Linked DNA regions of Oreochromis niloticus. The protein of the gene in region 1 purifies or fractionates together with the protein of each later gene. This does not show direct contact. Links are inferred from orthologs where the notes say so. Each region holds a gene or a part of one and is shown on either strand. Other genes may lie near its edges.

What was found.
Region 2: the proteins of dis3l (region 1) and exosc9 purify together in Homo sapiens (affinity purification with mass spectrometry; 3 studies listed by BioGRID and IntAct, with this or other methods). This does not show direct contact. The link is inferred for Oreochromis niloticus from reciprocal best matches to the Homo sapiens genes DIS3L and EXOSC9.
Region 3: the proteins of dis3l (region 1) and hbs1l purify together in Homo sapiens (affinity purification with mass spectrometry; 5 studies listed by BioGRID and IntAct, with this or other methods). This does not show direct contact. The link is inferred for Oreochromis niloticus from reciprocal best matches to the Homo sapiens genes DIS3L and HBS1L.

What each region holds. Positions count from the first base shown.
Region 1 is NC_031965.2:3,303,500-3,307,252, reverse strand, and holds the start of dis3l (DIS3-like exonuclease 1), read right to left. Parts: upstream 2,359-3,753; 5' UTR 2,214-2,358; coding exon 2,084-2,213; intron 1-2,083. UniProt on the Homo sapiens protein: Catalytic component of the RNA exosome complex which has 3'->5' exoribonuclease activity and participates in a multitude of cellular RNA processing and degradation events.
Region 2 is NC_031971.2:37,045,227-37,048,979, forward strand, and holds the start of exosc9 (exosome complex component RRP45), read right to left. Parts: upstream 2,516-3,753; 5' UTR 2,422-2,515; coding exon 2,356-2,421; intron 2,148-2,355; coding exon 2,053-2,147; intron 1,964-2,052; coding exon 1,844-1,963; intron 1,084-1,843; coding exon 981-1,083; intron 892-980; coding exon 754-891; intron 616-753; coding exon 533-615; intron 1-532. UniProt on the Homo sapiens protein: Non-catalytic component of the RNA exosome complex which has 3'->5' exoribonuclease activity and participates in a multitude of cellular RNA processing and degradation events.
Region 3 is NC_031980.2:8,003,809-8,007,561, reverse strand, and holds the start of hbs1l (HBS1-like protein), read right to left. Parts: upstream 2,458-3,753; 5' UTR 2,219-2,457; coding exon 2,176-2,218; intron 1,529-2,175; coding exon 1,460-1,528; intron 1,233-1,459; coding exon 1,101-1,232; intron 892-1,100; coding exon 640-891; intron 178-639; coding exon of another isoform or gene 1-177. UniProt on the Homo sapiens protein: GTPase component of the Pelota-HBS1L complex, a complex that recognizes stalled ribosomes and triggers the No-Go Decay (NGD) pathway.

The DNA of each region.
Region 1 (3,753 bases):
TTTCAGTGTGCTGTATAACCTACAAACACAAGGAAGATCTGGATTAAGATGAAGTCAATATACACAGGATAAAACCTCTTAAACTCGGACTGATATTTCATAAAAGCGCTGATCATTCTCACCTCAAACACTAAACAGCAGCACAAATGTGCAAGCTTAAGTGATTGTTCTTCACTACAGGTGCACCTATCCAGTATTTGGATCACATATCAATGCAGTCCAGACTCAAAAAGCAAAACAAGGTATTGGTGACAACGCTCTAATCTGTCCAGTTCTACACTGTTCTGCGTTTACATCCCCACTGTCAGCAGCAGATCACCAGCTGATCATAGCATGAAGGAAACCAACAGCAAAAGAGCTGGCAGCCTGGAGGCATTTTACACCTGCTATGCCCAAAGCTTTTCTTTGAATGCTTCTAACAAACTGTGGTCAAGTGAGTGGACATCACTAAAAAGCTCTACAAACCTGTTGGCTTTTCTCTCTTGCTTTCATGCTCTCACTAAATATATTTGGTTTAACAACTACTATGAACACTTTATTGTACTTACGATAGTACTGTTGATTGTGTCAACTTGATTAATATTACACCAATTCACCTGTCTCTCATCAGCTCCACTCCATGCATTACATGCATATGAAGATGTGCACTTAGATTAAGACTGAGAGCAGTGAAAGAAGAACTGTCATAACCATAAAGCACAGATCAATAAAGATTCTTACACTGAGCTAAAATTAACTAGTCCAAATACATTTAGTGAAAACAAAAACATGCTTTTTGTTTTCATCCCTTCAAATGTATTTTTTAACCAATAAACACTAACTCACTAAACGTATATTCTTGGATGTATTCATTTGCTGCATTTTACTAACATTTTACAAAATCAGGAAGGAATCTTTGAGTGCATCCTGACTGCCTCTTACATCAAAGAGTTTCTTCCTCACAGTGAGGAATAGCGCATATTAATTTAACATTGGTCTCAGATCGGTAGCTTGTATGGGCAGAACAAAGTACTGGTTTTACACCTGACCTAGACAAAGTCAGACTGGTGCACTGTTGTGCCAAAAAGTGATTGCCTGCCAAAAACTGATTTCCAATGTTTCCGTGTGTTTTTTTATGTGTAATATCGTAACATATGTTGCTAAATAGACTTTGGTGAACAGGTATTACAAAGGGGTTATATATAAAATTAAAAAATTACCTGTTTCTCAAGTATCTTTGTAACTGGTTACATTATAACCAGTCAGCTCCCTTTTGTCACTTAACATATGTTTACAGAACTATTTTTGCTTTTATTGCAATTTCAGCTGTCCTCTTGGCCAGATTGCTCTTAAAAGAGACATTTTTAAAGTGAACAGGAATTTTTTTAAGTGCATTTTAAGTGCCCCTCTGGCGCGATATGGCAGCCTCGCCTCTGTCAGTCTGCCCCAGGGCAGCTGTGGCTACAACCGTAGCTTGCCTCCACCAGTGTATGAATGTGAGCGTGAATGAATAATGGCATTGTAAAGCGCTTTGGGTGCCTTGAAAAGCGCTATATAAATCCAATCCATTATTATTATTATAAATAAAGCTTATATAAAAGTCACTGCCAAAAACTGATTGCGGCTTCTACCTTCTTACAGGAATGTTGTTTGTTGCTCAAGATGACTTGATATCATTGATGAGGGATACATTTGACATATGTTTCACATATTATAGACCAATAAGTTATTTATAGCAGTTTAAATACAAGCAATCAGTTTTCGGCAAATACCGGAAATCAGTTTTTGGCAGACAATCACTTTTTGGCACAACACCCCTTGCCTCTTATCTGTGCACAGGTGGGATTTGCCATTTAACTGTCATACAAGGTAATTCTAGCTTTGGGTCATACTGTATGTACTTTGCTATTTCACGATTCATGTTACAGTGAAGCAAAATATAATATAATAAAAATTACGTGTTAAAACAAGTTATTTTTCCTCATTTGATTGTGTACGCCCCCAAACCACTACCTGCCAGTATTGCATTAACAGCAACGTTAGATACTTCTATAGCAGCAAACAAAGAGCTGTTTTTGTGAATTTGAGATTTAGCTGATTTTACCATTTACACAGTCGGCCTGACACAGTGAGCTGCAGCAGGGAACCCGCTCTCTCAGATAGTGTTCCCGGACCACTCGGACCTTCCGCCCCACGCAGCTTTTCAAATGCAGGACTCTCTCCGTTTTAATCATCGTCCACACTCACTAATGAGCCACATACAGCCGCCGGCGCTCGCTAACTTGCTGTTCTGCCAAAACGCGGGAAGACGCGGTTGTAAACATTCACGGCAAAGTTCAGGGAAACACGGAAGGAAAGGCACGACTGCTGACGTCATGACGCCCAAGCAGTACCGCGTCTTGCTGCGTTCAAGTGCTGTCGGACGCTCACCCAGGCCAGTAATAGGAATTCTTGGTCTTTTTGATGACCTCGGTACTGACTCGGATCAGCGATATAAGAGCCAACACTAATATCAGCTCTTAAGGCTCCCAAGCTGCATTACCATTTGTCCAAATGCAGCAAAGTTAAAGCCTTTAATTCATATACATCTTCATGTTGGCAATTAGAGTCAAAGCTAATCTGAGCTGCTCCCTTGTCTGTATGTTTTAATTTGGCAGTCTTACGCCGAATGCCCTTCCTGACACAACTACACTACAGCACTGTAGTATGTTAATCACTATGCTATCGAGTAATTATAGTAAACCTTACCATTTCCACAAATTTAAGCAAAACTACATTAATATCGAAGCATCAAGGAATACTACAGATGTATACTAAAGGCTTCATTTATATTGCACATTTTTAGTGTTTTAGTGCTAAAACAGTGTGTAAATGTTACAATTTTGATGCTACTGTAATCTCTATGTCATTTAAATGTAATACCAAAGTAAAAGAAAAATTCTTAAAACATATGAAAGAGACAGAATGTGTATTAAAGATTAACACAGCAGCCGTGACATGGTCATGTCACCCACCCACTCTGTAGAATAGAGTTTGAGGGGCTTTTTTGTTTGTATGTTTGTTTGTTTTTTTTATTTAACATATGACACATGGTGGATTGCAAATATGAGGACACTGCATGCATGAATGAGACTGTCAGTCACAATTGCCTGTTTTATACTTAATGAATGGAACCATGATATACAAAAACATCACTGGCTTCACTTTTCAGTAACCTCAGTAACACAACTAGTTAATAGTGAGGTTCCAAACTGAAAAAGGGAGCTGAGTGTTTTTGGTGTTGCAGTCTTGGCATTTTGATACCAAACTACAAGCCAAGAGTAAATGCATAGACAGTAAAATACCCAGAATGGGTGCAGCAGCCAACGACTGGCCAGAAACACCAGAGGAGCGAAACACCAGCTCTTGGTAGACAGAGCAGTCGCCCGAGACAGTAAGACCAGACTAACCATTGTGTTTACTGGATTGCCTGGATTGACCACAAGAAGGCCTATGACTCAATGCCCCACACATGAATCCTGGAATGCCTAGAACTATACAAGATCAGCAGGACACTAAGAGCCTTCATTAGGAACTCAATGGGGATGTGGCAAACAACAGTAGAGGCTAACTCCAATAACAAAGTCACCATCAAATGCTGGATTCACCAAGGAAATACACTTTCTCCATGGAGAATGGAGCAGTGATCATCTCCTCTACATGGATGACATCAAGCTGTATGCCAGGTGTGAACTGGCATAGTCCTGCCGAGTCACCTGAATGGTAATAACAAGA
Region 2 (3,753 bases), on another chromosome or scaffold:
TTCCCCCAAAAAAGTCCCTCACACTATCACATCATCACAGGCAGGGTGGACTCATGCTTTCATATCGTTCACCCCAAATTCAGGCGCTATCATGCAAATGTCACAGCAGAAATCAAGGTGCTGTCAGACCAGGTGATGTTTTTCCATGTGGGAAAAGTCCCAGAAGATCAACAGTTTCTGAAATACCCCGGCCCGTGTAACACCAGCAACCACGGCACTGTCTTCATGCCTCAATGCACTGAGCTGCTTAGTAAGCTGCTGAACAGGTGTACCTAACAATGTGTCCAGTGAGTGTATACCACTAATACTTTTCTCTTCTCTCTGTCTCCTGCTTTCCCCTCACTCCCCAGCTGGTCGTGGCAGGCTGATGAGGGCTGCCCCTCCACGAGTTTTGTTCTGGTGGAGGTCTGAAGTGACTCTCTATAAACACTACTGAATATACTGAGTTAACTAAAACCTGCTGCACCTGTAAACATGACATTAAAATTTTGATAAACAGGAGAAAAAAATCTTGTGAGAAGCAATCTTTTACCCTTGTTGGAAGAAGGCGAAGCTGACGCTGATGGGCATGTGGTAGATACTCAGAGGAATAGGGTCTCTCTCCTCTGGACTGTACTGAAGACAGAAATTAAAAAAAAAAAAAAATACAGCTAACATAAAGCAGAATTCTCATGAAAACAATAACATCATCACTTTTCTCCCAGCAGGTCCAGGGAAGCTCAGACACCACCTGCTGTGGTGCTGCTGACTCACCACTGTGACTTCCTGTCCCTGGGTGCTGACGTCAGGGCGCCTGAAGTGGCACAGAGCAGTGATGGCGGCAATGCTGGCGGCATCCATCAGGTTTCCATCATTATTCAGTGTGTGAACATCCACCCTGATCTGCCACACCTAGAAACCCACAAGCAAGCACCACCACCATCATCATCATCAATACATGAAGCTTCTTTCTGTCTGTCGTGTGTGTGTGTGTGCATTACCTTTTCTCCAGACACCACACACAGAGACTCCGTATCGATGCACTTGGAGTTTCTCAGGCATCTCTCCAGCTGTCTGTTTAGCTTCACTGACAGCTCAGACTGTCTGGAAACACAGAAAACCCCACAGATGATTTACACTCTCTGCTCCAGCAGTCTGTCTAAATGAACCAGTCAGCCCCAGGGGAGGACCACTACTCGGGAACTTATTGTAATTTACAATAACTGCAGAGGTCATCTATAATTCACCAGCTATCATTTTCCAAACACAGAGGTCCTCTTACATATTATTTCCATGTAAATCAGAATTGTTGGTAAGCTAAGGTAGCTACAGTAGATCAACCCTTAATTACCTCACTTAGAAGCCAGGAGCAGGAGCACCATAGATCAGATGCCCAAGCCACCTCAGCTAGTTCCTTATGTTAGCAGCTGTACTCTGTGTGCCTCCTGAAAGAACAAGCTCCACACCCTGTCTCTACGACTGAGCACACACTGCCTTTGGAGGAGCTCATGTCTGTCGCTCGCATCCACAATTTCAGTCACTAACCACAGCTCGTGGTGACATAGATGGACAGCTATCGTTTCATGGTAACCTTTCTCCTCACCAAAACAAAAGTGCCACCAATCCTTTTATCAGTGTCCCGCTGCATACATCCCCAACCCAGTCGATACTCCACCCTCATCCAACTGAGAACCACGGCCTCAGAACATGGAAGCTTATTATGGATGCTTTCCAGTCACCAGATCTCATTAAATTCAGGAACAATGTCCCCTACACTCCATAAAAAACACACCATGCTTATTTCTTTATATTCCAGTGAACATAAATGAATGAGCTGAATTCAAAGAGTGAGGTTCGTCCTCACCTTCCCTGCTCAAATCCCGGTGAGGCCATCGGGGACAGCTCGATGTTGAAGAACATGATTCCTTCATTCGGTCGGTTTTCTTTAGGAGCCACCAGCTCGCACGACACCTGCGCCATGACCCTGCGGGGCGCCGTACAGTGAATACAGAGCTCAGTGTACACAGATGCTCAGTTTGACACACGATTGCAAACATGTGGCTGCAACTTAACCTGGTTTGTCCCAGATCCACAAAGCAGCACCCATAGTCAGTCCCAAAGCTGATCTTAATCTTCCTGTAGTCATAGGTCTGCCGTCCATCCAGGCGCTGAAGGAAGAGAACAGAAACAGGACACGTGAGTACGGATGAAAGCCTGCAGGTGTGCTATGGTAAGGCACTATAATACACATCAATCCTCTCTAAAACAGAGCAATGATGCCAGGATAGGACACCGATGCATGTCCTAATGTACATCCTCAGGCTGCGCGCGCGCACACACAAACACACGACAGCGCGTGCTGATTATCTCACCCACCTTTTTCTCTTCGATGGCTTTAAGCAGGAAGTCCCGCTCGCAGTTGGACAGCGGTGTGTCCTTCATTCTGTTTTTGTTATAATATACTGATCTGGTTCACCGTTCCAACAAGCATGTGGCCGCCATCGATGTTTTTTTAACTCTAACCCGGAAGTGCATAAGACACGTGAACGTAAAAGCGGCTAGAATATATATTTTTTTAAATAATTGGCGTATCTCAAATTAATAAGTATTTTATTACACTCCTTTAAATTCATTCAGAATCTTTATTTGTGTCGTATTTCATTATTTTTGATATGTTGGGCGTAGAATTTATTGATAAGGGTCTTTTATTTTGAAATCCCAGCGCGGTGTGATGGCTTGATGCCTTTAGTGACATATTGAAAGCTCGTCCTTTATAGCACTCAGTAGCTGCTTTTTATTCCTTTGGAGGAATTTGGAAATTTTGGAAAACACATCACAAAGCAAAATGTATTTAGTATGAGGATATTCCATTCTTTAAATGTTGTTTTATGTTATGCATTAAAAATAATAATAAAATTCATGTTTTGTCACTCAGTTACACTGAAATATATTTGATAGAAAGGTTTCACTTAAAGAAGGTAAAATTCTCAGTCCTTTCTAGGCTTTTGTGAATGGAATTAAGCTCAATATTAGTAGATTTGCGGCCTCACAAACTAGAAATAAATGTCAATATTATGTGTAATATTATATGAGTATATGCTGCATGTAAGCTTTCATATATCTCCTTCAAATTGTCTTTTCAGCACAGCAGACCTCCTGCTTTCATCTCATCTTGTCCTTAGCATCCACCTCTGACACACTAACCCTCTACATGTCCGCCTTCACTACATCCATGAACCTCCTCTGTGAGAGTCCTCTTTTCCTCATGCCTGGCAGCTCCATCTTCAACACCCTCCTCTGCACAAGTCCAAACTATCCCAGCTTTGCCTCTTTAGCTTTATCTCCAAACTGCTCCAAAACTGACTTCTTCCTCTGATGTACTCATTTCTAATCTTGTCCATCCTGGAGGCTCACAATGAAAATTTTAGCATGTTTAACTCCACCTCCAGCTCAGCTTCCTGTCTTTTTATCAGGACCACCTTCACAGCAGGTCTCATACCATCATGAAAGCCTTCACTTTCATTCTTGCTACTGTCTTTCTACCACAAATCATCACTAACACATGTCTAAATCCCCTCTACCTGCACTTTCTTCTTCGTGTGTTGCTTTGCATGGTTGACTCCAGGAATTAAAATACTTTATTCATTCAAGAGGAAATTATGTTATATGTTATATTTAAACTAATCTGCCTTCACTAGCTTTGGTTTCTTCTGTCTTCACTATTAGGTCTGCCTCCCTGTTCTAGTCTTGGTTTTCCGGACTTTCATTCCTCTT
Region 3 (3,753 bases), on another chromosome or scaffold:
TGTTTTTAAGGCTAAAATCCTGCTTTTCACAGCTGCCAGCATTTGGTTGAGATAAGAGTTCACATAAGCTGGGTGCTTTTAGTTCAGGTACATGTGGATGTTCATGTTTGTGCCCATGTGTGTTGGCTTCATGTGCCTTGGATGTCGTGTCTGTGTGAGAAGCAGACAAGCAGGCTCCTTACCTTACAAAAGCCAAGTGCAGTTGTCGAAGAGTAGGGGTGAGGGGGAGCAGAAGTCAAATCAATCATGTAGCAAAAGAGAGAAAAAAAAAGACAGAAAGAAGGCACTTTGTTAAACATTTGTATCACTATACAAATTTGTGCGAAATCAACCAAGAACACTACTGGCTGTTAGGCTTCCATACACCCAATAATGACACATATTTATATAGAAGTACTAGCAGCAGTGACTTATGTTGACTGCGTTTGAGGAGGAAATGGGAAATACTTATCTTGGAACACCCACCTATACAGAAAAATTTTTCATAGCTATGAAACTCCACAGAAAACCCAAATCTGTTATACAACCCTTTAAATGCCACAAATTAACGTCCTCCCGGTGTGTTACTACACTGAATCACTCAGGGGTAACAGTTTTCAATCACTGAAACATTTTTATTTTGACCCACTCAAGGTGTACCTTTGTCAGCCACAGCCTCTTGTTTGGTTCTTTGTGGTTGTGGCGCTTTGTCCTGGTTAGCTCGCTCTACTGTACCAATCTCTTCAGCTGTACTTCTGGTAACTGGAGCGGTTTTAGTGTCTTCAGACAGTACTGCGTCCAGTGCCCTCTGTGGGTCAAATCCACATTTTATGGCTGCCTGGGTCAGGACTGAGTCCGGCACTGCATCTCCCAGCACAGTCCGCATGTGGTCCAGACAGGAATACAGCTTGGCTAAAGAGTACAGCAAACATTGGACACACACAATAGATTTGTGATCCATACAAAAAGCAAAGAGTAAAAAAAAAAAAAATGCACAATTTCAAACAAAAGTTTAAAGGACAAAAGGAATTGGTGCATGGAACCTTTAATTGTGAAAACACAAAAAACAAGTTGAGAAATTTTTATATTCTGAGCCACAGTTGTGTGCTTAAAAATACTACCTTGATCAAGAGGGCTGAGGTTGTGGTTGACAGTAGGGGACACAGGGACAGCCTCATCTTCAAATTCTTCCTCCTCTAAAGGCTCTTCCCTTGGTGCATGTCTTTCTTGACGCGAGTAGATGAACTGATTTGCTAGATAAGCCAAAACCATTTAATTTTAATAGTAGATTATACGTTATCATACATGATGTCTACTTAATGTTGCATACTTTCAAACTTAAACTGGAAATGCAAGCAACTATTGTTATCAATGAGTGTAATGAAAAAAAGTTATTTATTTGAAAATACAGTGTATGCTTAACTTCAGACAGATTCAAATTAGTTTGCTCCATCTTCACTATGCATCAATGCTAACCAACCTGTTGCTGGTGAAATGCAACAGTAGTCATCCTCCACAGACTGTCCATACATGTCATCATCTTCAAAGTCTGAAAAAAGAAGAAGAAGAAGAAAAACAACACTTAGATGGATACCTTTGCTCATTTAGTTGTGCCTCACACAAACAGTCGTATACACAGTTGCAGTAAAGCCCCTTTATGCCAGCTGTGACTTTGCTTTGTCAGCAACTTTATGAATGCCACTGCACACTGGAAACCTGGAGATTTTCCTCTAATCGCTAAACTCTAAGCTTTATTTACAGAGATATTTCGCAAGTTAACAACATGGGGAGATGTGAATGTAAAGAAGAGCAAGTAAGGAATCTGGTGTAACTGACACAAACAAAACATTGGATAGTTAGCAAGCTAGGCTAGGCAAGTAGCTGGCAATAACCTGAGTAAACATTAGTAAATTGAGTAGCTACACACACCTCACATCAAAATTTGTCATTATAACATTAACCTAAAATCCTGGGTTTGCGTGGGTATAAGTAATTACTGTCGTTATGGGACAATTTATCTTGCGCTAGGTGCCAAGTGACACGACATCAGTGTGATCTTGCCAGTTAAACGACCTAGCATTAGCCGCTACAGCTACTGAATAACTGTAAACTTTAGCTTAGCTGTAAACAGCTAACTGGTTTAGCTCTTTGAGGCCTTGCCGCGGCATTTAAATCGGAACCCTTTTTGCCATCTACCTTCATCGTAGTTGTAACCTCGAACATTTCTATGACGAGACATGTTGATTATGCCTCCTCTCTCGGCGCCACTGTTATGTAATTCGGTTCACGGACATGTGTTCACTGCCCAGCGAAGCTCCTGCAGTTGCTGCTGTGTGAAGCTAGCCTACCTCAGCAGGCAGGTCACAATAGATTCGACAGTCACGCAAATACATAAATGTAACCACAACACAAAAAAACAAACAAAAAAAGAAAATAAATGTATTAGTTGTATTTACGTCATTTCATCGACACCGAGCTTTTGCATAATTAAAGTTTAAAAAAAAAATAATAATAAAAAGTTTTTTTCTTCGCTGACGAAACTTCCGTTTGTAGTTCTTCAGCCTGGCATAAGATCTCAATGGGTTTCAAAACGTTTGCGCTGTCAGACCTAGATTACACTGGATTTATTTACAGCTTCAACTCTGTGCATCCGTCAGAGTAAAGTTCTGCAAGCCTAAAATAGTAATAAAAGTTGCACCCCATATAAAAAAGAAACATTGCACTACACGACGAGTTTAACAGTAAATAATAAGAAATAACAAACCACAACAGAGAAAGAAAATAAATTATGTCGCAAAGAAAGAGAAAACAACCCATCTGTGTAAAATGGAAACGTTATAATAAAATTACTCTTTAAAACAAAGTGAATGACTGGGAGAGGACTCTGTCTGACAGAGATAAGAGTATCACAGGAAAATAAGAGAGGTGTGAGGTGGTATGAAATACAGTCTGTAAAGTGTTAGATTTTCTCAGGTGTTAAGCGTCCATGGTGCGAGGAGGGTGGGGGGTGTAGCATTTCCTTTAAGCCCTATAGTCTTTTTGCCACCAGGCATCAGGCACATATAGCAATGGCTGAAAAAAAGAAAGAAGAAAAAATGTTGCAGAGCTGGGCCTCACATGTGGTGATGCTCACTGACCTGTGGTTTCTCAGGTTGCGCTTGAATTATATATATTTTTCGTTTAAGAGGAACAATACTTGTAAATATTTGCTGCACTGAAGCAGAGTGAAGTTTTCCATTTTGGTAGGACACTGTCACAAAAACAGAGAAGCAAATAGGTGAGGAAAATCAGAAAAAAAAGAAACGGGGGGGTGGGGTGCCTTTGTGACTCATATCAGTAATAACTGACCTGGCATAGTTTTCCTGTAACAGCAAAAGCAAATTTTTTATTTCTAGTTGCACGGCCTTTAAGATCTGTGGACCTTTGACTGTGAAAGAGGACTGACCAAATGTTGTTAAATAATGTTCTGATTTGCAGTTTTTTAGTCTTTTTCATTTTAAATGTTTCCCACCTGGATGTTTACGAGGGGGTAACCCTTGTTTCTCTTTTCTGAAATGGGTAGTTTATGTCATATTTCTAACCTGTTTTCAGAGTATAATGTCTGGGTGTGCATCACAAAGTAGTGAATGTGATCTCTGCTTTTACGGCTTACTAGGGCTACGTTTGAAAAAAAAAAACCCCAAAAACGGAACAATTCTAATTGTTGTCCAGTCACATCTTTAATGATTCATTGAGGTGTCAAAACTCATCATTAAGGCTACAGGGGGAAGTTGT